Stegostoma tigrinum: one gene and its partners. The protein of the gene in region 4 purifies or fractionates together with the protein of the main gene of each other region. This does not show direct contact. Links are inferred from orthologs where the notes say so. Each region holds a gene or a part of one and is shown on either strand. Other genes may lie near its edges. The genes, in order: copb2, E3 ubiquitin-protein ligase RNF123, NF-kappa-B inhibitor beta-like and nuclear factor NF-kappa-B p105 subunit-like.

Evidence for each region.
Region 1: the proteins of nuclear factor NF-kappa-B p105 subunit-like (region 4) and copb2 purify together in Homo sapiens (affinity purification with mass spectrometry; 5 studies listed by BioGRID and IntAct, with this or other methods). This does not show direct contact. The link is inferred for Stegostoma tigrinum from reciprocal best matches to the Homo sapiens genes NFKB1 and COPB2.
Region 2: the proteins of nuclear factor NF-kappa-B p105 subunit-like (region 4) and E3 ubiquitin-protein ligase RNF123 purify together in Homo sapiens (affinity purification with western blotting; 4 studies listed by BioGRID). This does not show direct contact. The link is inferred for Stegostoma tigrinum from reciprocal best matches to the Homo sapiens genes NFKB1 and RNF123.
Region 3: the proteins of nuclear factor NF-kappa-B p105 subunit-like (region 4) and NF-kappa-B inhibitor beta-like purify together in Homo sapiens (affinity purification with mass spectrometry; 7 studies listed by BioGRID and IntAct, counting the BioPlex papers as one, with this or other methods). This does not show direct contact. The link is inferred for Stegostoma tigrinum from reciprocal best matches to the Homo sapiens genes NFKB1 and NFKBIB.

Annotation. Positions count from the first base shown.
Region 1 is NC_081367.1:20,776,385-20,784,201, reverse strand, and holds the start of copb2 (coatomer subunit beta'), read right to left. Parts: upstream 3,031-7,817; 5' UTR 2,901-3,030; coding exon 2,898-2,900; intron 1-2,897. UniProt on the Homo sapiens protein: The coatomer is a cytosolic protein complex that binds to dilysine motifs and reversibly associates with Golgi non-clathrin-coated vesicles, which further mediate biosynthetic protein transport from the ER, via the Golgi up to the trans Golgi network.
Region 2 is NC_081364.1:65,894,536-65,901,977, forward strand, and holds the start of E3 ubiquitin-protein ligase RNF123, read right to left. Parts: upstream 3,006-7,442; 5' UTR 2,890-3,005; intron 1,555-2,889; 5' UTR 1,523-1,554; coding exon 1,441-1,522; intron 1-1,440. UniProt on the Homo sapiens protein: Catalytic subunit of the KPC complex that acts as E3 ubiquitin-protein ligase. Promotes the ubiquitination and proteasome-mediated degradation of CDKN1B which is the cyclin-dependent kinase inhibitor at the G0-G1 transition of the cell cycle.
Region 3 is NC_081392.1:14,792,015-14,799,627, reverse strand, and holds the start of NF-kappa-B inhibitor beta-like, read right to left. Parts: upstream 3,075-7,613; 5' UTR 2,854-3,074; coding exon 2,405-2,853; intron 1-2,404. UniProt on the Homo sapiens protein: Inhibits NF-kappa-B by complexing with and trapping it in the cytoplasm.
Region 4 is NC_081354.1:1,700,474-1,707,805, reverse strand, and holds the start of nuclear factor NF-kappa-B p105 subunit-like, read left to right. Parts: upstream 1-4,295; 5' UTR 4,296-4,412; exon of another isoform or gene 4,413-4,527; intron 4,528-7,332.

The DNA of each region.
Region 1 (7,817 bases), on a different chromosome or scaffold from region 4:
ACTCTGTTAAAGATGTATTAACCTATTAACTACATTAGAATAATTTGTGGTCATGAAAGGTCCATAAATTTGTAAACAACATTCCTATCTTTATACAGAATTGTCATGGCAGACTGTTACCAGACAAGTTCATAAAACTTAACATTACAACAGCCGATCACGTTCCCCGTGCACATTCATACACAATGAGCCACTCACACATGATAGCAAATGGACATTACCTTCTATTGAGCCATATGGAGCAAGTCATTACATTCAAGAGAGGGAAAAACAAAATAAACATTTCAGCAAAACAGTATTTCTACTAACAATGGTTTAAATCCACCATTAATCCATTCAATCCTACGGCATTTGAATTTCTAAGCAACTACTTCCAATTCCCTACATACACTCAAAGAAAAACGTGAGATATGGAATTTTATCATGCCATAGTCACTAAAATTAAAAACATCTTGCAAGTTTAACAATCAACTTGTATCATAACTTTAACACTCCAGTTCATTATTTGACAGTAGTCGGCGAAGGGCGCCAATTCAATGTCAAGGAGTTTTTGACATGAATCAATGCCAAGAAATTTGATATTCCTCATGTCTAATTAATAGAAATTGCAACTCCTAAGACTACATGTCAGATAAACAGTCTGACAGCACAATAGAGAAGTCTTGAATAATGGTGTCACAGGCAGCACGTGAATGAGAATGTGAATGACACATCTTTAGGACTCCAGAGGGAATGACACAGAAACACAGCAATCATTTCCCAAGAATGCTCTACAATTTGACAGGCAACAAAGGAAACAATAGCTAGAGATGGAGACCAGAGAGAACAGCAGCATTGGGGCAGACAACAGAATGGATGATGGTCAGCCAAGGGGTGGCATGGTGGCTCAATGGTGAGTACTGCTGCCTCACAGTGCCAGGTTCAATTCTTGCATCAGGAGAACGTGCATGGAGTTTGCACATTCTTCCTGTGTCTGTGTGGGTTTCCTCTGGGTGCTCCAGTCTTCTCCCCAGTCCAAAGATGTGCAGATTAGGTGGATTGGTCATGCTAAATTGTCCAAAGTGTCCAGGGATGCGTGGGCTAGCTGGATTAGACATGGTAAGTGCAGGGTTAAAGGGATTGGGGAGGGTTCTCAATGGCACGCTCTTTGGAGGGTCAGTGTGGACTTAATGCGCTGAATGGCCTGTTTCCATACTGTCACAATTCTACAAGTCTCAGTTTTATGAGAAAAGAAAAGCTGCTAATGGGGACCGTTAGTGCCTGAAAAAAGATTGGCTGTGGTGAAAGCTGCCCATGTGATGACACAGCCTGGTATGCAGGGGCAGGGAGTGGGGTTGGTGGTGTCGGACATGGACAATGTTCAGACTCTAAAAATGACTCCAAGCTTCAGGTTGCCTACCACTTCAATATGTCACGCTGTGTTCCCCAGTTGACATTTCAGAGTTCAGCCTGCTGTCTTGCACCAGCAAATCTCAGCAAAGGTAGAAGAACAGCATCTCATTTTCTGTTTGGAGACTCTGTAGCCTTTAGGTCTCAAAATAGAGTCCTGTCTTCAATGCACATACCAACCTTTTCCTAGCTAAAATCCATTTCAAAGAAGGGTCGCCAGACCCAAAACACTGACGCTACTTTCTCTCCTCAGATGCTGCAAGACACAGAGATTCTCCAGCTAATGCTGTTTTTGTATACCAGACAGATTATCAGATCAGCCATTTCATTTAAGGGCAGAGCAAACTTGACGGGCCCAATGGCCCACATCTGTTCCCACTGATCACATGGCAGTATGCATCAACCTAATTTAAATGCTCTCTTACAACTCATGCAGGGTCATCACATTGCAGGAATTCACTATTTGCAAAATTGTTTTTTAAGTACACAAATCTTAAGTACACAACTTTTGATGTGGAAGCAGAAATGAGTGGTGGTCAACAAAAACTTGATCTGTCTACTTCAATCTCACATCAAAAAGTGATTAATGACTTTTTATGTAAACAACAGTCATGTTCAAATCAGTCTATTCCTCCACAGCTTACAATTCTTGAATGCAGGTTAATCCAGCCTAAAAATGGTGAAACTCATTAGGTATAACAGCAACAGAAACAGGTTGTGTCCTAGACAATTCATCTTCTTAACACTGTTTATAGATACACTTCGACCTCATTTCTGCGTTACAACAGCCTCAAACCTTCAACTATGTACCTACTCAGGAATTCAGTTCTCACTAGCGGTGGATTCAATGGCTAGAAGTTATAACGACTTAAATGTCTAATAGGATACAAACACGCCTAAATTAAAACATAGTAAAATGTGAGGCTGGATGAACACAGCAGGCCAAGCAGCATCTCAGGAGCAGCTCCTGAGATGCTGCTTGGCCTGCTGTGTTCATCCAGCCTCACATTTTATTATCTTGGAATCTCCAGCATCTGCAGTTCCCATTATCTCTAAATTAAAACATAATTTACTTACTAACCCCTGACGGCCCTGTTCACAGCACGGGCCTCAAAACGGTGAGCAATAAGAGGAGTTCTGATTTCTCTCCTCAGATCCTAGCAGACTTGCTGATTGTTTCCAGTGTTTTTTTTAACTTCATATCCCAGCCTCCGCAGTATTTGGGTTTAACTACAGAACAAGAGGCCGGGCAGATGCAGTCCCTTCCAGCCTACACCTTCCTCTCGCTGCCTTAGAGCTTGGCCCTCGTATCAGCACCATATACATACAGATGGCCTTCACACACCGGGGACCCTCCGCGGCTGTACTTAGGGCCTGTGGGGCAGGGCACTTTGTGGTTGACATAACAGGGACGAGACTTCCAGCAGCCACAACCTCCTGCACCCACAGTCAGGCTCAGGCTCCCTACCCGCTCGCCAGCCACTGCTAGTCAACAACCGCGTACCCACCATCGCTGCAGCACCTCAGCCTGCGCCCACACCCAGGCCCGGCCGGACTGATGGCTCCTCTGACGTGGAGCTTCCTCCTCAGCCACGAAACACGGGATTTCCGCAACGTTCGCGAGAGACGCCGCTCCAATCAGACGCAGCGCCCCATCCCCTAGACGGTCCTCCGAACGGTGCGCCCCCTCCGCTTAGGAGGATCTCAGCACTCAATGCCCGCGTCGGCGCGGAAGACGCCAGCCCACAACACCGCCGTCCGCGAGGAGGCCCACAGGTCACAGCGCCCCCTGCGGTAGGAGGTCCTCAACACATAGCGCACACCGCCCCTCGGCCCATAGCGCCCCCTGTGGTAGGAGGGTCCCAGCACACCGCCCACTCCTGTCGCGGGCCTGCGAATACACAACGCCTCCTGCCGTTGGAGGACCTCAGCGCACACACACACACACACACACACACACCCTTCTCCGGTTGGGGGAACTGCGGACACAGCGCTCGTTTTGAGACCCGACGTTCATGTGTGTCGACATCCAATGTTAGCCAGCCTTTCCAGACCATTATGGCACATCTCTAATCCACTCACACATTGTTCTGCATTGCCATGCTGCACTTTGGAGCACACCAGCATCTAGTATTGCAGTACTGTGGGTGTGACACTTGGCGGGCAGGGTCAGGTGCCCGGGTTCACAGACTGGACCATTTCAGAGCTGCTTGCTTGTTCTCTTGGCACTTACCCTTTTTTGTGCATTCCTGGATTCTCACAGAACCCCTGCTTTACCCTTCTTTCACTGTATTTTCCGGACCGAGTGAACAAGATATATCTGTTCTGAGGAACGGTCACCGGACCCGAAACGTTATCTCTGTTTTCACCTCCACAGATGCTGCCAGACCTGCTGAGCTTTATCAGCCACTTTGTCTTTGTTGCTGTTGATGATGATGTCTGTTAAGAGATTTGTTCAAGAAAGATAGCTCCACTTGTGGAAAGATGATCACCAATGTGTTCCATATTCTCAAGCAGGTTCTAACAATAAAGTGTTACTATTGCAATACAATGACCCAATGAAAAGATACAACACGCAAAGGCTTCAATATGTGTCTTTTGCAAGATGATACAGCTATTGTTTTTCATTCTGAAAGCCTGTCATCTCTGCAAGCCAATTATTCCAATAAAGAACATAAGACATTAAGCCTGCTAATTGGCATTCTGTGGTTTCACTCATATTTAACTGGCAAAAAGTTCACTGTTGAAAGATCATAAGCCATTGTAAATGATCTGCTGAAAATTGCTAATAAGTGCACCACAGCCATTCAAGCATCTACTTGTCAAGGTGTAAGGATGTGACTTTGAAGTGAATTATGGGTCTGACATGCTGTGCAGATTATCCAACCCACATAAAGACTAAGCTATACCTCTTGACTTTCACATTGATGCTTTAGACTGTGAGATTGAAGTGGTCTCAAGATTGAACTCTTTCACTTTGACCAGGACCAGGGTGAAACTGCAACAGACATGTCAAAATTAACAAATATTGTAAAACACTGTTGTCGCGGGATTGGCTAACAGTGTTAAAGATATGCGCGGTAGGATTTGTTCATTTTGACAGTATAGAGATGGACTTGGTTTATCACAACAACTCATTTCAAATGCATAATGGTTCTAACTCTGAAAGCATTACATCAAGATACTTCCATGTTACACCAGGGGCATACAGCTACTGAACGTACCTTCCCAATTAATGTATATAAGCCAGTGATGAATCAGGATATTCAATGACTATGTGAGGGATGCCAAATAAATCAACCCCAGCAGCACAGGAATGTTTACATCCACACAATTTTTCATCCATTCCTTAGGCAAAAATATCACCAGAATTGGTCATAGTGCATGGGGAATATCACGTTCTTCAGACTAACTACTTTTCCAAATTTCCTATTATTTGGAAACCTTAGAAACACAACTAATGTGACAGCTGTTGACTCGTGGAGCAATACTTTCTGATGGCTGACATTTACAGGTCTTTGATTTTATTTAAGCATTACTTCCAGTTTATTCTGTATCTTGAAATGGATAGTGTCTGACAATGGACTGCAGTTACAAAAACAGAAATTGTTGAAAAATCTCAGCAAGTTTGGCAGCATCTGTAGAAAGAAATCAGAGTTAACGTTTCAAAGCTCTGAAGGAGGATTATTGAACCTGAAATGTTAACTTTGATTTCTGTCCATAGGTGCTGCCAGGCCTGGTGAGATTTGGTAGCACTTTCTGTTCTCATATTTTAGATTTCCAGCGTCCACAGTTCTTTATTTTGTCGACTATCGTTCCCTGACAAATCAAGGGATATGTATAAAGTGGATCATGACTCATATCACACTGTCACTCTATTATTCATATTCTAACAGTGTAACAGAACACAATCAAATCCATTATCAATAAGTGTCACACAACAAAGAGAGATTTGTGAATTGTGTTACTACATTTTCCTGAAACATCAGTGGGGAATGGTTTACCTTACCCAGAAGAACTTATGTTCAAAGATACATTGGAACAGCCTTGTCCAGCAACCAAACATCTAAGCATTTTGAGGCATAGACATTTTTATTTTCAAAAACAGAATAGAATGAAAGAGATACGTGATGAGTTATCAGGCATAGAAATACCAAATAAAAACTGAAAGAACTGTGGATGCTATAAGTCAAGATCAAAAGTAAAGTTTCTGAAGAAGGTCAGCAGGTCTGACAACATCTGTGAAGGGAAACACAGAGTTAACGTTCTGAGTTCCCAGTTCTGAGGAATGGTCACCGGGTCCAAACGTTAACTCTGTTTTTCCCTTCACCGATGTTGCCAGACCGACTGAGCTTCTCCAGCAACTTTGTTTTGTTGTGATAGAAATGTCAAAACTGAGCAAAGAATATGGGTTAGAAATACAGCAAACATGCCACCAGCCCAGATAATACCTGATATTTCCTGAGCATGGTGATAAATTATGAAGGAATAGCAACGAACTCAGACAAACATGCAACACCCTAGTCATGCTGGAGGAAACGGAGACAATGCACTCAGGGAAGTTACTGATTGTGTGGTGATGTTGAGTGACAACAACCAGCAGAATATTCAGGATGTGAATTATACACATTGTGTTCCTCAGTTGTATTTCAACCAAAAAAGTGCAAATGAACAGGGTTCATCATTTTGTCTGCATCAAGCAAGATGTCGGATATATTTAACAAAAAAGAATGTGGAAGCTTGTATTCCCCAGGAGCCCAGGCTTCTTAAAGTGCCAGCAGCGCAGGCAAAATCTTTCTTCTGAACTGACAGTAAATCATGTCTCAAAGGTATTTACACCACAGGCACAATTGTGAAACGGTGCCAATAAACACTGTGAGTTCCAACTTTTATCCTTAGTCTTGATAACCTCCAATTCCTTGTTAGGAAATAGTCTGAATTAATCTTTTTAATTGTATTATTCAACCAAGTCCAGTGAATGAATTCTTTTCTTTTCAAGCCTGAAGTTGGTAAAAGATCTTGGATTTTTTTGAAATGATGCACATTTTCAAATCAGTATATCCTCAACCATGTATAAAGTTATGAGGAAACAAGTCAGCCAGATCCCTTGAGTAAGGAAATAACGAGTTTGCTTTGTTAATTAAAAATAAACACTTAGGTTTAAAGTGTAAACATTACTAAAACCTGCAACATATACACACAAGCATCCAAGTAAATGAACCAAATTAAAGAGTGGATGATGTGGATTGGAAAAATGTAAAAGCCATAATTATAAAGAAACTGTTTCTTTCAAACTGTAGTCAAAGTTTTCCCCAGAGTGGATGCTATGGCACTCGAAGTTTCTTAGAGCATTAAATTCCCCATAATGGAGCCAATTCATGGGCACTGAAGGCCTTACAACCTCCCATTGTCACAGCTATCAGTGTAATGCTTTTTATGAGACTTTCCCTTGTTTCTGCTATTCCTTCAGACGAGATGTTAGTTGCTTGTTATCATTTTCAACTATGTTAATATAAAACAGCTCCTCAATAACATTATTTAGTTTTGGAGTAGATTTGTAGGTGTGGGTGTTGAGGTTGGTTGGTTCGCTGAGCTGATTTGTTGTTCCGCAGATGTTTCATTACCGTGCTGGGTAACATCCTCAGTGCAGCCTCTGATGAAGCGTCGGTGTGTTTTGCCGCCTGGTTTTTAAACTCTGGGGTCTGTTGCAATGGATCGCCTCACTTCTGGGTTTCCTCCATAGTGGAATGTATATGGGATGTAGTTCAATGTGTTCCATGGACTGCCTATCTCCGGACTCATAGCAGAAGCAGTGATGCAAAGACTGGAAAGGACTGCCATTCCACAAATCCAACCTAAACTCTGGATACATGACATAGACGGCACCTTGGTCATCATTAAACGGACCAAATTAGAAGAGACACACAAACTCACAAACAACACCCTCACCAGAATAAAATTCACCAGAGAGGAGGGGAAGAACAAACAACTCCCCTTCCTGGACTTCATAGTAAAGAGGAAGACAAATGGGGAACTGCAAACGAAAGTACACCATAAGGTCACACACACAGAAGAGGTATTGAACTTCAATAGTAACCATCCCAGCACACACAAATGAAGCTGCGTGTGAACACTATTTAAAAGGGCAACAACACACTTCAGCAACATGGAACTACACTAAGAGGAGGAGGAATACCTCTTCCAAGTGTTCAAAGATAACGGATATCCAAACGACTGGGTCAGGAGATGCCTACAGGAACAGCATCAGAAAGATCCTACATGGCCTGACACACCCATCACACTACCCTACATCAGGAACATGTCAGAACACACCACAAGATTTCTCTGACCACTGGGCATCAGAGTGGCACACAAGCCCACATCGGCCCTACGACAAGTGCTCACCCAAACTAAAGACCCACTCTCTA
Region 2 (7,442 bases), on a different chromosome or scaffold from region 4:
AAAGGTTGCAGGAACAGCAACTCATATTCCGCCTGGGAACCCTGCAGCCATATGGTATCAATGTGGACTTCACCAGTTTCAAAATCTCCCCTTCCCCTACTGCATCCCGAAACCAGCCCAGTTCATCCCCTCCCCCCACTGCACCACACAACCAGCCCAGCTCTTCCCCCCCACCCACTGCATCCCAAAACCAGTCCAATCTGTCTCTGCCTCCCTAACCGGTTCTTCCTCTCACCCATCCCTTCCTCCCACACCAAGCCGCACCCCCAGCTACCTACTAACCTCATCCCACCTCCTTGACCTGTCCGTCTTCCCTGGACTGACCTATCCCCTCCCTACCTCCCCACCTATACTCTCTCCATCTATCTTCTTTACTCTCCATCTTCGGTCCGCCTCCCCCTCTCTCCCTATTTATTCCAGCTCCCTCTCCCCATCCCCCTCTCTGATGAAGGGTCTAGGCCCGAAACGTCGGCTTTTGTGCTCCTGAGATGCTGCTTGGCCTGCTGTGTTCATCCAGCCTCACATTTTATTATCTTAGAATACTGCTGCTCAACAGGTTCAGGAACTGCTGGACCAACAAGGTAGATGCCCAGCTCCAAGCAATGATGAAGATTACTTCTCTGGCATCGAGAGAGCTTCTGTTACTTCCTATGCTGGCACACATTGAAATCCACAATGTCTATAACAAAAATATCCTTTGTGAAGGAGAACATCACCAAATAATAAAGCACTCTACTTGACACAGTCGCACAAGTAAAATCTTCACACTTGTCTGAAATCAAGCAGTCTTGACTGGAATACCATCATACCCTGTAAAGTGGTTACAGACCTACCTCTGGTCGGCAAACCACTTGGTTAATTTCAAAGATTTCCAACTGCAACCTGGTGATGGATCCCACCTAGTGAAGTCCCAGGTTTCAACCTCTGGTCATCTAAGTCAGACCATCGCTCACAGACCGCACACCTAACATGGGAGAGCCACTCCTGATGGCATCACAACTATTCACACTGCATCAGCTGAAGCCGTTAAAAATAACATCAGAGTATACTTGCATTTCCTAGCCTTGCACAACCTTTGCACGTAGGGTGAGAGCGTTACTGTTGAGTCGGGGCTGCCACCAATTAGATTTCGGAGTGCTGAAATCCAAACATAGTTGCCAGCAACATGGGATTTCAATGGGCTTACAATTGTGGGGAATGCCACCAAGTCATCGATTAGTGAAACAGGAGACAAAAACACATTTCCCATCCAAGCAGTTTCACAGGTCACAATTCCATCCAGATACATTCAGTTGTTCAATTTGCCAATCTTTCACGTTATTTTTAAGTACTTCCCAAACAAAGTATACTTCTCTCACAAACTAAGTAGATATAGGATGTTCACACACACATCACAATTAGGATCACTCAGGCTGTCCCAACCCTTGATACCAAACATACCTGTGACCTTTGGTTTTTCTGTATCAGAGGTCAACCGATAACTTCTCCTGGAGTAGGATGTGCTGGTGCCTTTAGACGTCATTTTCCAAATTAGTGTCTCTCCAATTTGTAAAACTATGTAAAAACAAATTTAGTGGAGGAAACAGCTTCAGTATTTTCACTCCATGTTCTGAGATGGCTGCCGTTATCTATTATTCAGCGTGAGCTTAGCATGTGCCCAAGGAAGATGGTAATGTTAGTAGCAGATATAAGAAAGTTATTTCAAAGACCAACATTTGCTTGACTACTTGCACTGAAAGGCAGTGAGCTACCCAAAGGATAACTGGCCAGATAAGAACTGAAAACATAAGGCAGCAAGTGAAATCAAAGTAAACTTAAGAGCAAACTTTGAGAATTAGCCTACTGGGGAATTAGCATGAGACGAATCGTAGGAAATAGATCGCTGATTGCCTCAGTTCAATATGAAAGACACTCCAACATCAGCTGGAATTCTCTATCCGAAAGAGCTGTGGAGGATTGATTGTTAAGTACATTGAAGATGCCTACATTTTTAAAAATTCAAGGGACACAGGGACAGTAGAGAAGAATGATATTGAAAGATGTCAGCCAAGTCTGGAGGGTGTCGGTGAGATCTGGAGATCAAGTGTGAGTCACAGGGGTCAGTGTGGAAATTAGGGGGTTAGCATGGTTGGAAGGGTGGTAAATGTGGGGACTGGAAAAGTCAGCATGCATCTGGAGGGCCACTGAGTAGTGAGGTCCATGTGATTAGTTGGGGGAGGTGATGTGAGTGATCCAGGAGCCTAGGTGAGAGGGGAGTGTTGGGTGTGGGCTCAGAGTGATGCAGGAGCCTAAGTGATGGGGAGAAGAGGGTCATTGTGCTTTGGTGGGGGGCAGTGTCAGACTCGTGGAGGAGTCACAGAAAGGAGAGGGTCAGCAATTCGAGGAGATCAACTGATTGCAGAGCTTCCAGGAACGATGGTGAGGTGGGGCAGTGATTAGGGGCAAGTCAGTAATTGGGGGAGGGGGGAGTCACTGAATGGAGGGAAGTCAGTGATGGGGTCAAGAATGGAAGCAAGTCATGTGTTGGGAGAGGGGTCAGTTTTGGGGGCCAGGTCAGTGATGGGGGAGGGGTCAGTGAAAGCAGGGAAGAGTAAGTGACGGGGGTGTGGAGCGGGTGGGGTAGGAGGGTGAGTTAGTGGTTAGTGACGGTGGGGTGGGGGCAGTAAGTGACAGAGGTCGGGGTGTTGTCAGTGACGAGGGTGGGGGCGGGTCAGTGACGAGGGTGGGGGCGGGTCAGTGACGAGGGTGGGGTGGTGGGGAGGGGTCAGTGACGGGTGGGCGGGGTCAGTGACGAGGATCTCGGCCCCCCCCGACCTCTCATTCACTTTTAATCTCTCAGTTTCCCTGTCGACAGTGTTCCGGTTTCGGATGGGCCTCGGTTCCGCTGACCTGTGCTACCCAGCTTGCGCAGACCCCGGTTTCTCAGAGAAGACCCACTCTGTCCCGACTTCTCCTCACGGACCCGCTCCCGTCGCCGCCATCTTCAGTCCGGTCTAAAGCCCGCCGCACGCATGCGCTGCGCCCATAGGGCGGAGTCGGTCCCGACCCCGCCCCCAATGCCCCATCTCCAGCTTAAATACGCCTCCCCGATCATTTACCCCCAGCTTAAATACCCCGCCCCGATCAAATACCCCTCCGCTTGCTCAAAACCCTTGCCCCGCTTAAATACCCCTACCCTGATCATATATCCCCCGTTTAAATACCTCGCCCTGATCAAATACCCCACCCACCTGCTTAAATACCCCTCCCCTGCTCAAATACCCTTCTCCTGCTTAAATACACCCCCAATCAAGTGCCCTTTCCATCCACAATACACCTCCCCCTGTCTAAATTCCCATCCCCTGTTCAAATAGCCCTCTCCCTGCTCAAATACCGCTCCCATCCACAATAGCCTCCCCTGCCCAAATACCGAACCACAAATACTCATCCCCTCTATAATTCCCTTTCACAAACACTCCTATTTCAAATATTCCTCTCCCTCCCCAAATACCACTCTCCATCCACAAATACCAGACTCGCCATCCATAAATAGGCCATCCCCATCCATAAATGTCCGATCCCGAAATACCTCTCCCCATGCCTAAATATCCTTCCCAAATACCACCTCCCTAAAATTCTCTCTCCAACCCCAGACCTCCCTTTCCGAGTTCTCTTCTCCATTCCCAAATACCCCCACTCCACAAATGTCCCTCACCACCCCACCAAAGACACCTTCTCTTCCCTACCCAAATACATTGACTGTAGCAGTTGGAATATTAAATAGATTAAATTGGTAAATACATTAGGTCGTTTCCCCAGGGTAGTGGAGTACAAAACTAGAGGGCTAGGCTTAGGGAGACAGAGGGACCTATGCAGAAGGTGGTTTGTGTGTAGAATGTGCTCCAGAGGAGGTGGTGGTGGAGGCTGCTGTAATTACAACATTTAAAAGGCACCTGGATGGGTATATGAATAGAAAGGGTTTAGAGGTATACTGGCAAATGGGAATAGATTACTTTATGACATCTGGTCAGCACGGACAAGTTGGACCAAAGGGTCTGTTTCTGTGCTGTACAGCTCTATGACTCTCAAGTGCCTCCCTAGCCAAATCCACAAATACCCTCACTAGATCACCAAATATCCATCCCTCCCCAGATACCCCTTCCATTCCTTATCATTGCCCCTCCTGAAATACCACTTCACATCCCTCCCCAAGTATCCTTCCCTATGCTCCCTGCCAAATACCCATTCTATTCCCAAATACCCATTCCCATCCCCAGCCTCAAATACCCCATCCAATAACACCATTCCTAAATACCACTTTTACTAAATATACCCTCCCCAAATACCAATTCCTCATTCACAAACACCCTCTCACCAATTCATCATCCCCAGCCATATATTTCCCTTACCCAAATGCCCCACCCCATCCACAAATACACCATTCTCAAATTTCCTCCTAATTCACAAATATGCCCTGCCCATCCACAAATACACACTCCCCAAATCCCCTCCTCAATTAAACCGTCCCCAAATATTTCTCTCCATTCCCAGCTCTCTTTTTAGCTACTGCTTTCCAAATATGCATCCCCATCCTCAAATGCTGCTCCAATTCCTAAGTAATTCCATCCATAGGAATCCCTCCAGCCCATCAAAAACATCTCCCCTCCCCAAATCCTAATCTCTGTATACCACCACCCTACGCCAAACACCCCTCCCCATATATGCAAATATCCTACCCCATCCCCAAATACTATTCCCCATCCCTCGCCACTTATCCCTCCCTACCCCCAAAGTTCCCAGCCCCCTCTCCAAATGCTTTTCCCTCATCCAATTCCCAAATAGCTATTCCTCCCAACCTCATGCTACAAATACCCTTTACCTTCTCCTCCCTCTTCACAATAGCCAACTACCTCTCCACCATACCTCTTCCATCCCTGACTTCTCTTCAAGTACCCCTCCTCAATCTCCTCCTCTCCCTCTCCTCGTGTTACCTTTACTTCCCCTCCTCAAATGCCCACTTCCACTCACAAATAACCGCACCTCAGTTACCTCTCCACCAATGACCCCTGTGCATCCATAAATATGCCCTTTCCCAAATACTCCCTACTGAAATGCCCCTAAACCTTCTTCAAGTATGCTCTTCCAATTTGCCCTACCCCAAAAATCCTCTCACTATGTATAAATACTGTATGTATACCTCCTGCCCAAATACCCTGTCCACATCCACAAATATTCCCTCCTAATGACACCTAGTCTCCAGCCATGTCCCCATTTACCCCTTTCCCATCCCCAAGTAGCCTCACTCCACAAGTATCAATGTCCGCCCTACAAAGACCCTCCCCTCCCTTTCCCCTTCCCACTTCGCTCTGAAAATACCCCCTCCACAAATACCCAACTACTTCCCCACAAATGACACCTCTACTTCCCCAAACTCTATTATCCATCCCTCCTCATATATCCTTTCATATTCCCCTCCCAAAATACCATCCTAAACTCCAAATATCCTTACTCTCTCCAAATATTCTTACTCTCCCACTCCCTCTCCAAAACCTCTCTCCACAAATATCCCTCACATTTCCCTCCACCAATATCCCTTCCCTGTCCCACCAACACAACACTTTCACTCTCCACTCCCATGCCCCGCTTCCTTCTGATCCCAACATTAGCCCGTCCCTCACCTCTTTGACACACTGTCATCAAATTTCCCTTCTCTATTCTCCTCCTCTGCTTTTGTTTGTCTCTCTCTTCCCTGATCCCCCATCCATTTTCCCACACATTTTCCTTCCTCCCCGTCACCCTGAGCTGGTATATATTGGATACATGCATTTCAGGCATTATGCATTAACAGGATGATACAAATCAGCATGTGTATAGCAAACTAATATATATTGGATAGGTGTAACCTGAGAGGTGTGTATTGGCTGTATAAATTGAGTGTGTGCATATCGGGCTAATGGATATCGTGTTTCATATACGTTTGGGTATATATCAGGCAGGTGTTTATATTTTAGTATATATTGTGCATGTACGTTTATTTAAATATATCGGGCTGGCTTATATATTTTGGTGTATATTGGGTGAGCGTGTATAATTGTGTATGTGTTGGGCTGGCTTATATCTTTCAGTATATGTTAGGGAGTATATATTTAGGTTTACATCAAGTTAGTGTATATATTTGTGTATACATTGGGCAGGTGTATACATTTAAGTATATATCAGGTTTAGCTACGTATATGGGTAATATCATGTGTTTCAAATATTTCAGTATATATATTGCGTGTGCGTGTATGTTTAGGTGTATATCAAATTTCTGTATCATGCATTTTATGTATTCAGGTAAAAATTGGTCATGTTCATTTATTTAATGTATATCAGGCTGGTATATATTTATGTGGGTAAGTATCCTGCATTTTATATATCATCGTGCTTCAATGGGTTTGCACACCCAATAAACAAGCCTTGCTATCCCCAGATTTGTCACAAAGTTAAAGATTTTAGAAAGTATATAAAGGTTCTCGAATTTACCTATCTTTTAGATCTGGTTTGTCAGAAAGCACAGACCAGATTTCTGTACATAATAAGCACAACTTAAAATTCTAACTCCTAATAAATTTGCCTTACATATATGCACAAAGGTTCAGGAAAAAAAATGTCAGTGTTATGAGCAATGGAAAAATCTAGGAAAGCAGTTCAAATCTCCCTTTTCACAGGATTTGCTCATATGATTCTTGTACTGATCAGAATGCTGCTTCTTGATTTTCCTTCTGTGCAAACTTTCATTGGTCTGCAGGAGGTATATTGTGCCTGGTTCATGCTTTTTAAAAATGTATCCATCTTGCTCACTAAAAGCCACATCATACAGCAACCAGAAGGGAAAATAAACTAGTTGCTGAATGTTCATCTGCTCATTCTTTTATTTCCTTTCTTGTGAAACTTTTAAATGCTCTTATGCTACCCCTACATGATCCTTTCTTTTTCGTTTATTCATTCACGGGATGAGGGTGTCACTGATCAGGCAGCATTTATTGCCCATCCCTAATTTCCCAGAGGGCAGTTTAAAGACAACGACATTGCTGTGGGTCTGGAGTCACACGTAGGCAAGACCAGGTAAGGATGGCAGTTTCCTTCCATAAAGGACATTAATGAACCAGATGAATTTTTCCGACAATCAACAATGGGTTCAGGGTCACCATTAGATTCTTAATTCTAGATATTTTATTGAATTCAAATTCCACCATCTGCTGTGGCAAGAAATGAACCTAGGTGCCCAGAAAATGATATCTGGGTCTCTGAATTAACAGTCCAGTGATAATGCCACCAGACCATTACCTTCCCCTGTGAGTCTTGCTAGAAATATATAACCCAACACTAAGGATCCTCTGTCTCATTAAAGAACATCTCCCTCATCAGTTTTAACAGAAGCCCCAGTCTCTTGACTGTAGACCAATTCAAATCACTATATC
Region 3 (7,613 bases), on a different chromosome or scaffold from region 4:
TATCCACAAAATCTATGCACAGAAAATCTTGATTGACAATTCAGTGCAGGGCTGAGGGGTTCAACTCCAGAGATTACATCTTTATGATAAAATATTATACCAAGTCCCTAACTGCTTCCCCAACAGTGAGCACGTACAAGATCCAGGTAACTACTTTGAAGAAGCACAGGCGAGTTTATTTCAGTGACAAAAACAGAATTTGCTGAAAAAGCTCAGCAGGTCTGGCAGCATCTGCAAAGAAAAAGTCAGAGTTAACATTTCAGGTCCAATGATCCTATCTCAGAACAGTTCTGAGGAAGTCACTGGACCTGGAACATTAATTCTGATTTTTTTTCTTCACAGATGCTGCCAGACCTGCTGAGCTTTTCCAGCAAATTCTATCTACATTCCTGATTTGCAGCATCTTCAGTTCTTTTGGTTTTTATTGAGTTCATTTCAATGTCCTAATATGTTGCCTTCCACAAATGTCACTATAGCATATAATGAAGTCATCATCTCTGTTGTTTGTGGGAGCTTGCAGTGTGCGAATTAGTGCAATCTTTCCTACAATATGACAGATAATACATGTCACAACGCACTTAATTGATTATAAAACACTTTATGATTTCCCATGGCCATGAAAGGTGCTATACATATAAGAAACATAAGTATATATGTAATCTTAAATTTCAAAGTTCAGCGGGGAGGCTAATTATGTCTAAGGTGGTATTTGCACATCACTTGGAGATCACCAATCAGTGCTTTTTGCAGAAACGTCCTGCCATTTTGTCAATATAACACTTTAAATATAATCTACGAGCCGAGCATTTTGATGGGATGCTTGAGGACATGAGAAGTTGCTACATAAATACAAGTCTGTTCTTTATTTTGTTACCTTATCACCTTGCAAAACTTGACCAAAAACAGCTGCCTTGATAATCAAAAGGCAAATTCCTCATCGAGCTAAACAAGGCAATATTTGGAAAAAAAGCTCAGGCAAAGATCTATGTTTTAAAGAGATGCTTTTAAAAAAAAAGGAAACAGAAGTAGAGTAATGGAGAGGTTTAGAGAGGAAATTCCAGAGATTAGGGTCATGGCTGCTAATGGAAGAGTGATTTCAGAGCAGGGTTTTCTGTATATCAGATTATGTGAATCTCTGCAGTATTCTGTTTTAAAACTGATTTAATGTGAATGTGGCACTCCTCAAGACAAGGGATGTTTAAATTCCAGTAAATTTGTGCAGTCAAAATGAGTTTTAACTATTCCCAGAAAATACAAATGCAAGCTCCTCTACTCTGCCCAGAAACATGTCTGAGTCCCAAAACCATTTCCAACTGCATGAGAGTGACATTTCTGAGAGAGTCAATTTGCAGCCTCAACAAATGAGACTTTCATCAAAGGGAAGTCTGGTGCTGTGGACCTAGGAGAATGTTAAACTGAGACTGCCACATTTCACATAGGATCACTTTCACCAACAGCGATTAATTCAAACCCAGGTCACAGATGAAAGAAAAGACAGTCACCACATCACATAATAATTTTTAAAATGCTTTTTATTCAGTCACAGCAATGTGGGCATTGCTGGCTGGCCAGCATTTATTGCCCATATCTAGTTACCATTGAGAACATGGTGTTGGAGCTGCCTCCTTGAACTGCTGCAATCTGTTTAATAATAATTCTGTCTTTTAAAAAAAAAATCTTCCTTTGAATACTAAATTGTACATAAAGATATTGTACATCAGAAACTAAAAATTCTATTTGGGTTAGGTGTTAGAGATAGGACTGCCTCCAGGAATATATTGAGAGGGGAATTAAGCAACTTCAACTTCTTTCATCACCTCAGATTTCAAAGAACTGCGTGGAAACTTTCAAAGGGTAGTCACTGTATAATAGAGGTCAATGCAGCAGGTGTTTTACACACAGCAAGATCCCACAAAATAAACAATGGCCAGATGATCTTTTCCCTTGGTGGCAACATTGGCAGAGGAAGTAAAGTTGACTAGGTCACTACAGAGGACACTTCATGTTCTTCCTCCAAATAGCTCCATAAAATCCTTGAGTTAGCATCTCATCCAAAAAATGATACACCTTTGACACAGCAATGCCCTCTCAGTACTGCAATGGGAATGTCAGACTTGATTCTTGCGCTCAAGTCTTTGGAGTGAGGCTTAAACGCACCATCTTCTGATTAAGAGACACGTCTTTGAAATAGTGCCAGAATTTTTTTTTTGTATTCACCAGTCAGGTTTAATGACCTCATCTGAAAGTTGACAATGGATTGTTGCTGGTACTGGGCATACCAGCACATGGGCTGAAGGTGTATTTCTGCATCTGGTACTTGGGAATGATGGAACCAAGTAAACCCATACCCCCATGCCCACCCACAGTTGACACTTTATTACCCCCTCATGCAAGCGATACTCACGAGTCCAAGTCTTCGGTTCGGTAGTGGCGCAATTCCTTCAACTCATTCACTGCTTCTTGGGAACTTCCCAGCTCCATTCCCTGGGTGATCTGACCGGTGCCACTCAGTTTCACATCCTCGATGCCCTGGGTGATCTGGCTAACGCCACTCTCTGCCCACCGCTGGGTGGATAAGCAAATGTCTGGCTCAGTGCCCATGGACATGCCATCCTTGCCCTCCCCACCATCAACACTCTGGTCAACGCCACCCAACTCACTGAACTGGCTGACCTGCAGCTCACTGAGGGAGCCAATGCCACTGTCGTAGTAGTCATCGCCCTCTACCTCAGCGGGTAGCCCCAGGCTGTCCAACTTGGCCTGGCCACCCCACGGCGCGGCCACTTTACCAGTGCCCAGCTTGATCGTCTGTTTGGATGAGTTGCCATTTGACAGCTGCGGGACAACCTCCATGTTTTTTTCTCTGGACTCCCGACGTGATAATGAAAATCGCTCTTGAACACGATTCTAAAGGACGCCAGTCGACTCATCAGCGAAATCTATGAGGTAAAACCGCCATCCCTCTCGCCGCGGAGCAGCAGCTTTAACGGGAAAGTGAAAGAAAGACACGGAGATGAAACGGACGCCTCACCAAAAATGGCCGACGCCTTGTTTACCCTTTTGTCTGGTGGGAATTTCCCCCGCTAGGCCAGGGACCAATCGAATTGCGCTTTCCTGGCAGGTCCCTGTGAGGGAGACGACGTTGCCCATGCGCAGACGCTGCCCCCGCCGCAATGGCCTGTGGTAGTTGTAGTCCTGGCGATAGCAAGTCTTTAAAGACTGCAGTGCTGGCAGTCAGAGGCAACGGAGTGGGTGGCGGGGGGAGCCCAGCAAGTCAGGTAGTATTAGAGGGGTGGGAAAGTCAACGTTTCAGATCTGGACTCTTCATCAGGACTGTTGTTCGTTATCAAGGACAACAACAACTTGAGCAAGTTTCAGGCTGAGGATCTGGAAAGAAAGTGTTGGAGAAACTCAGCGGATCTGGCAGTGTCTGTGGAGAGAGGGACAGTGTTTTGCTTCTGTTATTCGCTGATGGCAGCGGTCATTGCCCATCCCTAATTGCCCCTGGAATGGACTGGCTTTATAAAGCCGTTGTAGAGAAGGTTAAGAGACAGCCCCCATTGCTGTGGGTATGGAATCATGAAAACAGGCCAGATCGGTTAAGGACAAGAGATTTCCTTCCCTAAAAGACAGATGGAATTTTATCCAGCAACAGACAGAAATTGCTGGAGAAACTCTGCAGGTCTGGTAGCATAGAACATAGAACATTACAGCACAGTACAGGCCCTTCGGCCCTCAATGTTGTGCCAACCTGTCATACCGATCTCAAGCCCATCTAACCTACACTATTCCATGTACGTCCATATGCTTATCCAATGACGACTTAAATGTACCTAAAGTTGGCAAATCTACTACTGTTGCAGCCAAACCGTTCCATTCCCTTACTACTCTCTGAGTAAAGAAACTACCTCTGACATCTGTCCTATATCTTTCACCCCTCAATTTAAAGCTATGCCCCCTCGTGCTCACCGTCACCATCCTAGAAAAAAGGCTCTCCCTATCTAACCCTCTGATTATTTTATATGTTTCAATTAAGTCACCTCTCAACCTTCTTCTCTCTAATGAAAACAGCCTCAAGTTACTCAGCCTTTCCTCGTAAGACCTTCCCTCCATACCAAGCAACATCCTAGTAAATCTCCTCTGCACCCTTTCCAAAGCTTCCACATCCTTCTTATAATGCGGCGACCAGAACTGTACGCAATACTCCAAGTGCAGCTGCACCAGAGTTTTGTACAGCTGCAGCATAACCTCTTGGTTCTGGAACTCGATCCCTCTATTAATAAAAGCTAAAACACTGTATGCCTTCTTAACAGCCCTGTCAACCTGGGTGGCAACTTTCAAGGATCTGTGTACATGGACACTGAGATCTCTCTGCTCATCTACACTGCTAAGAATCTTACCATTAGCCCTGTACTTTGCCTTCCGGTTACTCCTACCAAAGTGCATCACCTCACACTTGTCTGCATTAAACTCCATTTGCCACCTCTCAGCCCAGCTCTGCAGCTTATCTATGTCTCTCTGCAACCTACAGCATCCTTCGTCACTATCCACAACTCCACCGACCTTAGTGTTGTCTGCAAATTTACTAACCCATCCTTCTATGCCCTCATCCAGGTCATTTATAAAAATGACAAACAGCAGTGGACCCAACACTGACCCTTGCGGTACACCACTAGTAACTGGTCTCCAGGATGAACATTTCCCATCAACTACCACCCTCTGTCTTCTTTCAGCAAGCCAATTTCTGATCCAAACTGTTATATCTCCCACAATTCCATTCCTCCACATCTGTGGAGAGAAAGCGGACTTAATGTTTACAGTCCAGTGAGTCTCCTTCAGCAGTTTATTTGTGATACCACAGGCTGAGACTTTACTGGACGTGAAGGATGACCGTATAGAGGTTTATAATATCATGAGCTAAAGTGGATGGCAGGTGTCTTTTTTCTTAAGGATGGGGATTTCAAGACTAGGGTCTTTTAAGGTGAGAGGAAAAAGATCTTAAAAAGACATGAGAGCCAATCTTTTTAAACCAGTGAGTATTTTGTGTGTGGAATTAACCTCCAGAGGAAGTGTTGGATGTGGGTACAGTTACAATGTTTAAAAGGAATAAGTACATGAATAAGAAATGTTTGGAGGGATCTTGTTGGATGTATAGTTGGTTTGTTGGCATTATGGTGGCATGGACTAATTGGACCGAAGGTCTTTTTTTTAACCTTTATTGATTTGCGGGATGAGGGAGTTGCTGACTAGGCAGCATTTATTGTCCATTCCTAATTGCCTAGAGGGCTGTTAAGAGTCAACCACATTGCTGTGGGTCTGGATCACATGCAGGCCAAACCAGGTAAGGATAGCAGAGATAATAACCAGATGCTGGAGAAACATTGGCAGTTCCTATTATCTCGATACAATTTTAACCACACCTTGTTATCTCAGATTCTCCAGCATCTGCAGTTCCTGTTACCTCTGATACAATTTTAACCCCACTGTGAAGCCTCTTCAAAGGATGCCTACCCTGAAGAAGTTATCCTCCTCCCTCCGGACAAACCTCAGGGGATCTCTCTCCCACTGCAACTTCTTCTCTATCAATCTTCTATCCACTTCCCCCTCTCTCCCTATTTATTTCAGAACCTCCTTCCCCTCCACCATTTCTGATGAAGGGTCTAGGCCCAAAACATCAGCCTTCCTGATCCTATGATGCTTCTTAGCCTGCTGTGTTCACACAGCTCTGCACCTCGTTATCTCAGGTAAGGGTGGCAGTTTCCTTCCCTAAGGAACATTAGTGAACCAGATGGGTTTTCCACCAAAGAGAATGGATTCATGGTCATCATTAGACTTTTAATTCCAACTATTCATTGAATCTAAATTCCACCATCTGCCGTAGCGGATCCAATCCCAGGTTGTGCTTCTGCGATGCTGCTTGGCCTGCTGTGTTCATCCAGCTTCACACTTTGTTATCCCCAGAAAGTTATCTGGGCCTCTGGATTAACAGTCCGGCAATAATACCATTAGGCCATTGCCTCCATTTTCCATGTTGTATGACTATTTTCAGCATCCATAGTTCTTTGTTTTATTTTTGGGTTTTTGCAGCAATCAACAATGATAGTCACTCAGCTGGCTTTTAAAGTTTTCGTTGAAATTTCACCATCAGCCAATTTAGGATTAAGTCTGCGTCCCCCAGAACATTAACCTGGGTTACTGTGCTTGGCCAGTACCACTACTGTGCTTCACTACTGAGTGCTACTCTAGTTGAGTAATGTGTCCATGCTCACTGTCGCTGACTCCCACATTTACATGTACAAATTCAAGAGTAGAGTCTGGGATTATTTCAAATTTTCAAACTCGAAGGTTGGAGAAATGAGAATTGTATTGAACTTTGTGAGATCCTGAAGGAACTTGATTGGGTGGATGCTGAAAGGATATTTGTCCTAATGGGAGTGACTAAAATTAACAGATACAGTTTTAAAGTAAGTATCTTGCACTTAAGATGGAGTTTAACAGGATTATTTTCTGAGTTTCATTAGTCTGTGGAATTCACTTCTCGCAGAGAGGTTGGATACAGGTTCATTGAATTTAAGACAAAGGTAGATAGGTTTTTGACTAACAAGGCAGTTAGAAGTTATTGGAGGGTGGGAGGAGATAGAACTGCAGAGTTGAGCCCACAATCAGATCAGCCAATGCTGAACGCTGGAGCAGGCGTGAGTGGGCCAAATGACCTACTCCTGATTCCTGTGTTCCTGTTGTTAAGAACAGATGAGGAAACAGCTGTCCATTTTGTCAGCCCATCTCATTCAGCCACTAGAAATATCTTTCATTTTTCATTTAGCACACAGCCATGACACTCCGATTAAAATGTAATTCACTAGAAAATGGGAGGAAGAATTATCAAGATTATCTTGAGTGAAATAAAGAGCCATTCTATTATCTACAAACCCAGAGGAAAAAAAAATGCAATATTAAACACAAACTCAAACAAAGATAATAGATTTAAGAGTGATGGAGAGGGTATCTACTGTCTATAGGAAGATATTCAGATGCAGTTTAAATTTCTTAGGGACCTCTGGTTGTAAGAGTTAAACATGAGTGTATGACTGTTTAACTGTTGTCTTTCTTCCTCAGTCATAATGCCATTTGTAGAATCCTGGAATTGTTAGTGAATGGTTGTTTTTCCAAAATTCCCAAGAGATGTTAAGGATTGGGGAGAGAGGTGGGAGCAGGAGGCAAAAGAGAGAACAAACCTTCCATGTTCTGCAATTCGGAATCCAATTTCCTTCTCCTTTGCTGCTCAAAAGCCCCTGAAATAGAGTCTATCTGTGTATTTGTGAGTCTGCTTTCATTGTTTATTTAAGTTGGATAGTTGCAGGGAACACTTTTATGTTCAAATGGTGAAAAGTAATATTCAAGTGTGAATTAAACAGTAGATCCAAACTTCTTGACTCTAACTCGGTTGTCTGATTTCAATTATTTTAGATTAAGCAGAATTTCAATTTTGCCAATTTTATGTATTCTGAATGGGTTCCCTGGACTTGCCACAATCTGTAGTCAGGTGACAACAACAGCCATTTTAAGTCAGTATTTCTGTTTTAAAAATCTTTTTCGTTATAAGGGTCTCAGCT
Region 4 (7,332 bases):
GCCATTTAATTATGGCTGATGGGCATTTCAATTACACTTCCCTGTTCTCTCCCTGTAGCCCTTGATTCCTTGTGAGATCAAGAATTTTTCAATCTCTGCCTTGAAGACATTTAATGTCCCGGCCTCCACTGTACTCCGTGGCCATGAATTCCACAGGCCCACCACTCTCTGGCTGAAGAAATATCTCCTCATTTCTGTTTTAAATTTACCGCCTCTAATTCTAAGGCTGTGCCCACGGGTCCTAGTCTCCCCGCCTAGTGAAAACAACTGCACAGCATCCACCCTTTCTAAGCCATACATTATCTTGTAAATTTCTATTAGATCTCCCCTCAACCTTCTAAACTCTGATGAATACAATCCCAGGATCCTTAGCCATTCATCGTACGTTAAACCTACCATTCCAGGGATCATCCGTGTGAATCTCCGCTGGACACGCTCCAGCGCCAGTATGCCCTTCCTGAGGTGTGGGGCCCAAAATTGAACACAGTATTCTAAAAGGGGCCTAACTAGAGCTTTATAAAGTCTCAGAAACACATCACTGCTTTTATGTTCCAACCCTCTTGAGATAAACAATAACATTACATTCGCTTTCTTAATCACAGACTCTACCTGCAAGTTAACTTTTAGAGAATCCTGGACCAACACTTCCAGATCCCTCTCTACTTCTGCTTTATGAATTTTCTCACCGTTTAGAAAATAGTCCATGTCTGTATTCTTTTTTCCAAAGTGTAAAACCTCTCATTTGCTCATGTTGAATTTCATCAGACATTTCCTGGACCACTCTCCTAAATGGTCTAAATCTTTCTGCAGCCTCCCCACCTCCTCAGTACTACCTGCTTGTCCACCTATCTTTGTATCATCAGCAAACTTCACCAGAATGTCCCCAGTCCCTTCATCCAGATCATTAATATATAAAGTGAACAGCTGCGGCCCCAACACTGAACCCTGTGGGTCACCACTTGTCACCGGTTGCCATTCCGAAAAAGAGTCTTTTATCCCAATTCTCTGCCTTCTGTCAGACAGCGAATACTCAATTCAAGCCAGTAGCTCACCTCGAACACCATGGGCCCTCACCTTACTCAGCAGCCTCCCATGAGGCACCTTATCAAAGGCCTTTTGGAAGTCTGGATAGATAACATCCACTGGGTTTCTCTGGTCTCACCTACTTGTTACCTCTTCAAAGAATTCTAACAGGTTTGTCAGGCACGACCTCCCCTTACTAAATCCATGCTGACTTGTTCTAACCCGACCCTGCACTTCCAAGAATTTAGAAATCTCATCCTTAACAATGGATTCTAGAATATTACCAACTACCGAGGTTAGGCTAATTGGCCTATCAATTTCCATCTTTTGTCTTGATCCCTTCTTAAACAAGGTGGTTACAACAGCAATTTTCCAATCATCTGGGACTTTCCCAGACTCCAGTGACTTTTGAAAGATCACAATCAAAGCCTCCACTATTTCCTCAGCCACTGTCTCAGGGGGTCAGAGCTGAGGGAGGGCCGCACTATCTGAGGGTCAGTCCTGAGGGAGCGCCGCACCGTCGGAGGGTCAGTACTGAGGGAGTACCGCACTGTCAGAGAGTCAATGCTGAGGCAGTGTGGCACTGTCGGAGGGTCAGTGCTGAGGGAGTGGGCACTGTTGGAGGGTCAGTGCTGAGGGAGCACTGCACTGTCGGAGGGTCAGTGCTGAGGGGGTGCCGCACTGTCGGAGGGTCAGTGCTGAGGGAGCACCGCACTGTCAGAGGGTCAATGCTGAGGCAGTGTGGCACTATCGGAGGGTCAGTGCTGAGGGAGCACTGCATTGTCAGAGGGTCAGTGCTGAGGGAGCGGGCACTGTCGGAGGGTCAGTGCTGAGGGAGCGCTGCACTGTGTGAGGGTCAGTGCTGAAGGAGTGCCGCACTGTCGAGGGTCAGTGCTGAGGGAGCACCGCACTGTTGGAGGGTCAGTGCTGAGGGAGCACTGCACTGTCTGAGGTTCAGTTCTGAGGGAGCCCCGCACTGTCAGAGGGTCAGTGCTGAGGAAGTGCCGCACTGTTGGAGGGTCAGTGCTGAGGGAGCGCTGCACTGTGTGAGGGTCAGTGCTGAAGGAGTGCCGCACTGTCGAGGGTCAGTGCTGAGGGAGCGTCGCACTGTCGGAGGGTCAGCGCTGAGGGAGCACTGCACTGTCGGAGGGTCACTGCTGAGGGAGCCCCGCACTGTCAGAGGGTCAGTGCTGAGGAAGTGCCGCACTGTTGGAGGGTCAGTGCTGAGGGAGCACTGCACTGTCGGAGGGTCAGTGCTGAGGGAGCGTCGCACTGTCGGAGGGTCAGCGCTGAGGGAGCACTGCACTGTCGGAGGGTCACTGCTGAGGGAGCCCCGCACTGTCGGAGGGTCAGGGCTGAGGAAGTGCCGCACTGTTGGAGGGTCAGTGCTGAGGGAGCACTGCACTGTCGGAGGGTCAGTGCTGAGGGAGTGTCGCACTGTCGGAGGGTCAGCGCTGAGGGAGCACTGCACTGTCGGAGGGTCACTGCTGAGGGAGCCCTGCACTGTCACAGGGTCAGTGCTGAGGAAGTGCCGCACTGTTGGAGGGTCAGTGCTGAGGGAGTGGGGACTGTCGGAAGGTCAGTGCTGAGGGAGCGCTGCACAGTCGGAGGGTCACTGCTGAGGGAGCGCCGCATTATCTTATACAGATTGTTCCTAGTCTTGAGCTCCCCACAAATAGAAATCTCTTATTAATAGGAATATATGCAGCAAATTGGAATTCCCAAACTGGAATCAAACTTTCGTTTGTCCAAATTGTTTGTGTAAATTGTGGAAAGAATGAGCCCAATACTAGCCCTCGTACAGCACTTGCCACTAACCGCCACTGGGAAAACTATCCTTTACTCCAACTCTTTGCTTGTTGTTTAGAAACCAGCCAGCAATCCATTCGGCCCCTTGGGAATCTGCAACCCCTGTACTCCCCCGGCAACAACCTGGGAAACTGCAGCATCCTTTCTTCCCCGGGGGCAACGAGGAGAATTGCAGACACCTCCCACTGCCATTAGTCCCCTGCCTCCAGCTTCTCCCTATTGGATGGGTGCTGCCTAGTGGGTTCAGTTTCCCAGCTTGTTCCTGGATCGGAGTGGGGGTGTTGGAGTCACAGTTGAAGCTCCAAAGGTGAAGATACAGGGGACTAAAGTTCCCAAAACGGAAGTGAAGGTGAAAGGGCAGATTCCCAGGTTGTACTAGAGGTATTAAAGAGTGAAAGAAGTCCCTGTAACTGTGAGGAAGCGTGAAGGATTTGCACTCGCCCATGTTTTCCGGCGGAGTGAGGGGTTTGGGGTGTGGCGGGGGTGTACCGCCGTCTCCCCAGGGGGAGTGACAGGGCTGCAAACGCCCCCTAGATAGAGATCCCACGCGCAGGTTGTCCCAGGGTAAGAAAAGATCAAAGACCTCCTTGTTTCCCCCAGGGGGCTTGTGGGGTCTGCAGGTCCCCTCCCTTCTGCCCCCGGGTAGTGAGGGGGCTGCAGTTCCTCGCTGTTGCGATTAGGGGGAGTGAGGGGGCTGCAGTACTTCCCGATTGCCGCCAGTGGGAGTGAAGGGGATCAATGATAATGGGAACTGCAGATGCTGGAGAATCCAAGATAACAAAAGTGTGGAGCTGGATGAACACAGCAGGCCACGCAGCATCTCAGGAGCACAAAAGCTGACGTTTCGGGCCTAGACCCTTCATCATCTCTGGGGTCTAGGCCCGAAATGTCGGCTTGTATGCTCCTGAGATTCTGCTTGGCCTGCTGTGTTCATCCAGCTTCACACTTTGTTATCTGAAGGGGCTGTAGCTCCATTCGCTGCCTCCAGTGGAAGTGATGGAGCTGCAGTATCCCCTGCTGCCCCCATGAGGGCTGTGAGGGGGCTGCATTTCCCCCGGTTGCCCGCAGGAGGTCTGAAGGGGCTGTATTTCCCCCCGTTGCTCCCAGAGGGTGTGAGGGGGCTGCAGTTCCCCCCGTTGCCCCCAGGGGGTGTGAGAGGGCTGTAGTTCGCCCCCCCGTTGGCCCCAGCGGGTATGAGGGGGCTGTAGTTCGCCGCCCCCCCAGTTGTACTGTGAGGGTACTGCATTTCCCCCCGTTGCCCCCAGGGGGTGTGAGGGGGCTGCAGTTCCTCCCTTGCCCCCAGGGGGTATGAGGGGGCTGTAGTTCGACCCCCATTGCCCCCAGGGGGTGTGAGGGGGCTGTAGTTCGCCGCCCCCGTTGCCCCCAGTTGCATTGTGAGAGGACTGCAGTTTCCCCCGTTGCCCCCAGGGGGTGTGAGGGGGCTGCAGTTCCCCCCGTTGCCCCCAGGGGGTGTGAGGGGGCTGCAGTTCCCCCCCGTTGCCCCTAGGCGGGCGGGGAATTTCCAGCCGGGGAGCACTGGGCCCCGGGAAGCGGAGAGAGTTTGCCGGGTGTATGGAGTGGTGAGTGGCGGCGCGGAGCCGGTGGATTGTGAGTTGGGAATACATTGTAACTTGTGTCTGATAGCTTGTTGCTGGAAGTTGCTACTTTGTAGCTGGTGCAGGATTCGCTTTGACGGTGAGTTAAACCCAGTGAATGGTTCGCTCCTCACTCGGTCAGAGTGACTGCTCCGTTAGCCTACCCCTCTCCCTCAGTCCCAGTCCGCCTCGACATCTGCTTCAGTGCCGAGCGGCCGCCGACACCAGCGGAAGGCCCGAGTTTCCGCCTGAGGCTCTCCCTCACTTTCCTTATCCTCTGTCAATCCCTCACTCTCAATTCCTCCTCCTACTTCAATTCCCTCCCTTAATGTCTCACCCCCCCTTCTCACTGCGCTGTCGCCTTTTAAATCCCCTTTTCTCAGTGTGTGACTGTCTCTCCTTGTCTTTCAAGCGGACTCTCAGGCTGTTTAATGTGCTGATGATGAGTTATGTTGATCTTCATTCGTAAAACCATAAAAAGCAGGACCAGAAGTCGGCCACTCTGTCCATCGAGTCTAATCTGTCCTTCAGTGAGACCAGGCTGACCTGCTAATCCTCAGTTCCACTTCCTGCCTTTTCCCCATAACCCTTTGTTCTCTTAGTGATTAAAAATCTTGTCTGGCATTGCCTGAAAGTGTGGTAAAGGCAGAAACCCTCATAACATTTGACAAATATTTTGATGTGTGCTTGTGACGCCAAGATAGAGGAGGTTCTGGGCCTTGTGCAGAAAATGGGATTAAAGTAGGGTTATTTGGCCAGTAACCACTCCATGGACCAAAATGCCTTGTTTAGTTCTATAGGTCTCTCTGACGGTGTGATTGTAAGATTGCCTCACATTCTACTAAATGCTAGTGAGTACAGGCCTAACCTACTCAACCTCTTCCCCATCAGACAGTCTTCCCACACCCCATATCCGGGACCAATCAAATGAACCTTCCCTGGATTGTCTCCAATACTCTATATCTTTATACAGGCAAGGTGTCCAAAATGGTTCATTGTATTCCAGCTTTTGTAACTAACGACAAAAGGTTCAGAGAGCCGAAGGGCAGGTCAGTTATAGTTGAAAGGTGAAATCTGTAGGTCTCTTAATGTTGAGCTGAGTTAATTATTTGATCAGGGCAGTGTGAGGGGGCTGATTCTGAAAGGTATATTCTTGTTATGATGCTGTTCTTTAGTGTCTTAAAGCATGGTGATATTTCACTGTTTCATTCATCACAACCCATGTGAAGATGAAGAAGTGAAAGTGAGTGTTGGGTTAACTGTGGAGATTCTTGTTAATGCCAAATTGTGGAATAGGTAATATTTCCAAATAAATTGGTTCTAATGGTGTAATTTTTAGAAATTAGCATTTTTTGTGGATTAGTTGATGCTTGTTCAAGGATATGCTATGAATGATACTGAGGCTAATTAAAATGGTTGAGAAATAAGCACATGTACTTCAAAGTAAAACAATTGTTTATTGCAATATATAGAGAGTTTTTAGGTTGTGTAGCATCAGGCTGGTGTGTGAGAGAGAATAAGCCCTGTCTCTCAGAGTTGGTGGTCACTGGGTAAGATCGATGTCAGGCAGTACTTTGTCACTCAAAGGGAAAAAGTACCCCACAAAGAGCTGATCAAGATCAGAGTCTGTCACAAATTTCAAAACAGTGATCAATAGATATTTATTAGATAGGAGATTAAGATTATGAAACAAAGAATAAATAGTACCTTTTGTAATAAAATATCCCAAGTTCTCCTCAGGAGTATTGCAAAGCAGAATTTGACAGCTAACCACATTGGGAGGTATTAGGTTAGGTTACAGAAAACTTGGTCAAGGAGGTGGGTTTTGAGAAATATCTGGTGGAAGGTGGAAAATGAGACAGTGCTGAGAGTTTAAGGAGGGCATTCCAGAGTATATGGTCCAGACATTTGAAGGCATGGCCACCAACGCAAGAGCGTCTAAAACTGGGAATGTTCAAGAGGCTAGAATTAGAGAAATGCAGGGGGTCTGGGGTTGGAGGAGGTTACAGAGATTGGGAGGGGATGAGGCTGTTAGGTATTTGAAAACAAGAATGATATTTTAAAATAAAGAGGTTGCTTAATCTGGGGCCAGTTTGTCAGGGAGCCAAGGGGTGATAAGGAACAGGAGCCACTGAGAGTTATCACATGAACAGCAGAGTTTTGGACGGCCCCAAGGTCACAGAGGATAGAATGTGGGGACCAATGAGGAGTGTATTGGAGCAGCTAAGAAAGTCTAGAGGTGATTGTTTAAACATGAGGGATTCATGAATGATGAGCTGAGACAGGGTGAAGTTGAGGGATGTTACTGGGCTGGTAGTAAGTGGTCTTAGTAATGGTGCAAAGTAAGAGGTCAGAATCAGGATTTTATGAAAAACCACGGCTGTGACCGACTTAATCCCACAATGTTGTCAGGGTGAGAGAGGTGTTGGTGATTGGGAAACATTGTTTGGACTAGGAACTACAGCCAATGACTTCCCAATATTTAATTGAAGGGAATTTATGCTCATCCAGTTCTGGATGTTAACTCAGTAGTCTGACAGTTTAGAGAGAGTGGAAAAATTGAGAGCTGGTGATGAGGTCAAGCTGGGGTTGTCAGAGAACATAGTGAGAATGAACACTGTACTTTTACATGATGTCACTGAGCAGCAGCATGTAAATGGGAAATTGGATGAGGCCAATGATTCACCCAAAGTAGGTAAATACCAGCTTGTAAAATGGGAGCAAGAATAGGCCATTCGGCCCTTAAACCTGTTTCAGCATTCAACAAGATCATGATGGATCTGTTTGTGCTGTGAGTTTCACATTTCCCCATACCAGACATTCTTGTCAGGGAGGGGAATCAGTGTAACTCTGCATCATTGAATATTTTTAAGGCATTGCCTTCCAAAGTCAACCGTTTGAGAGA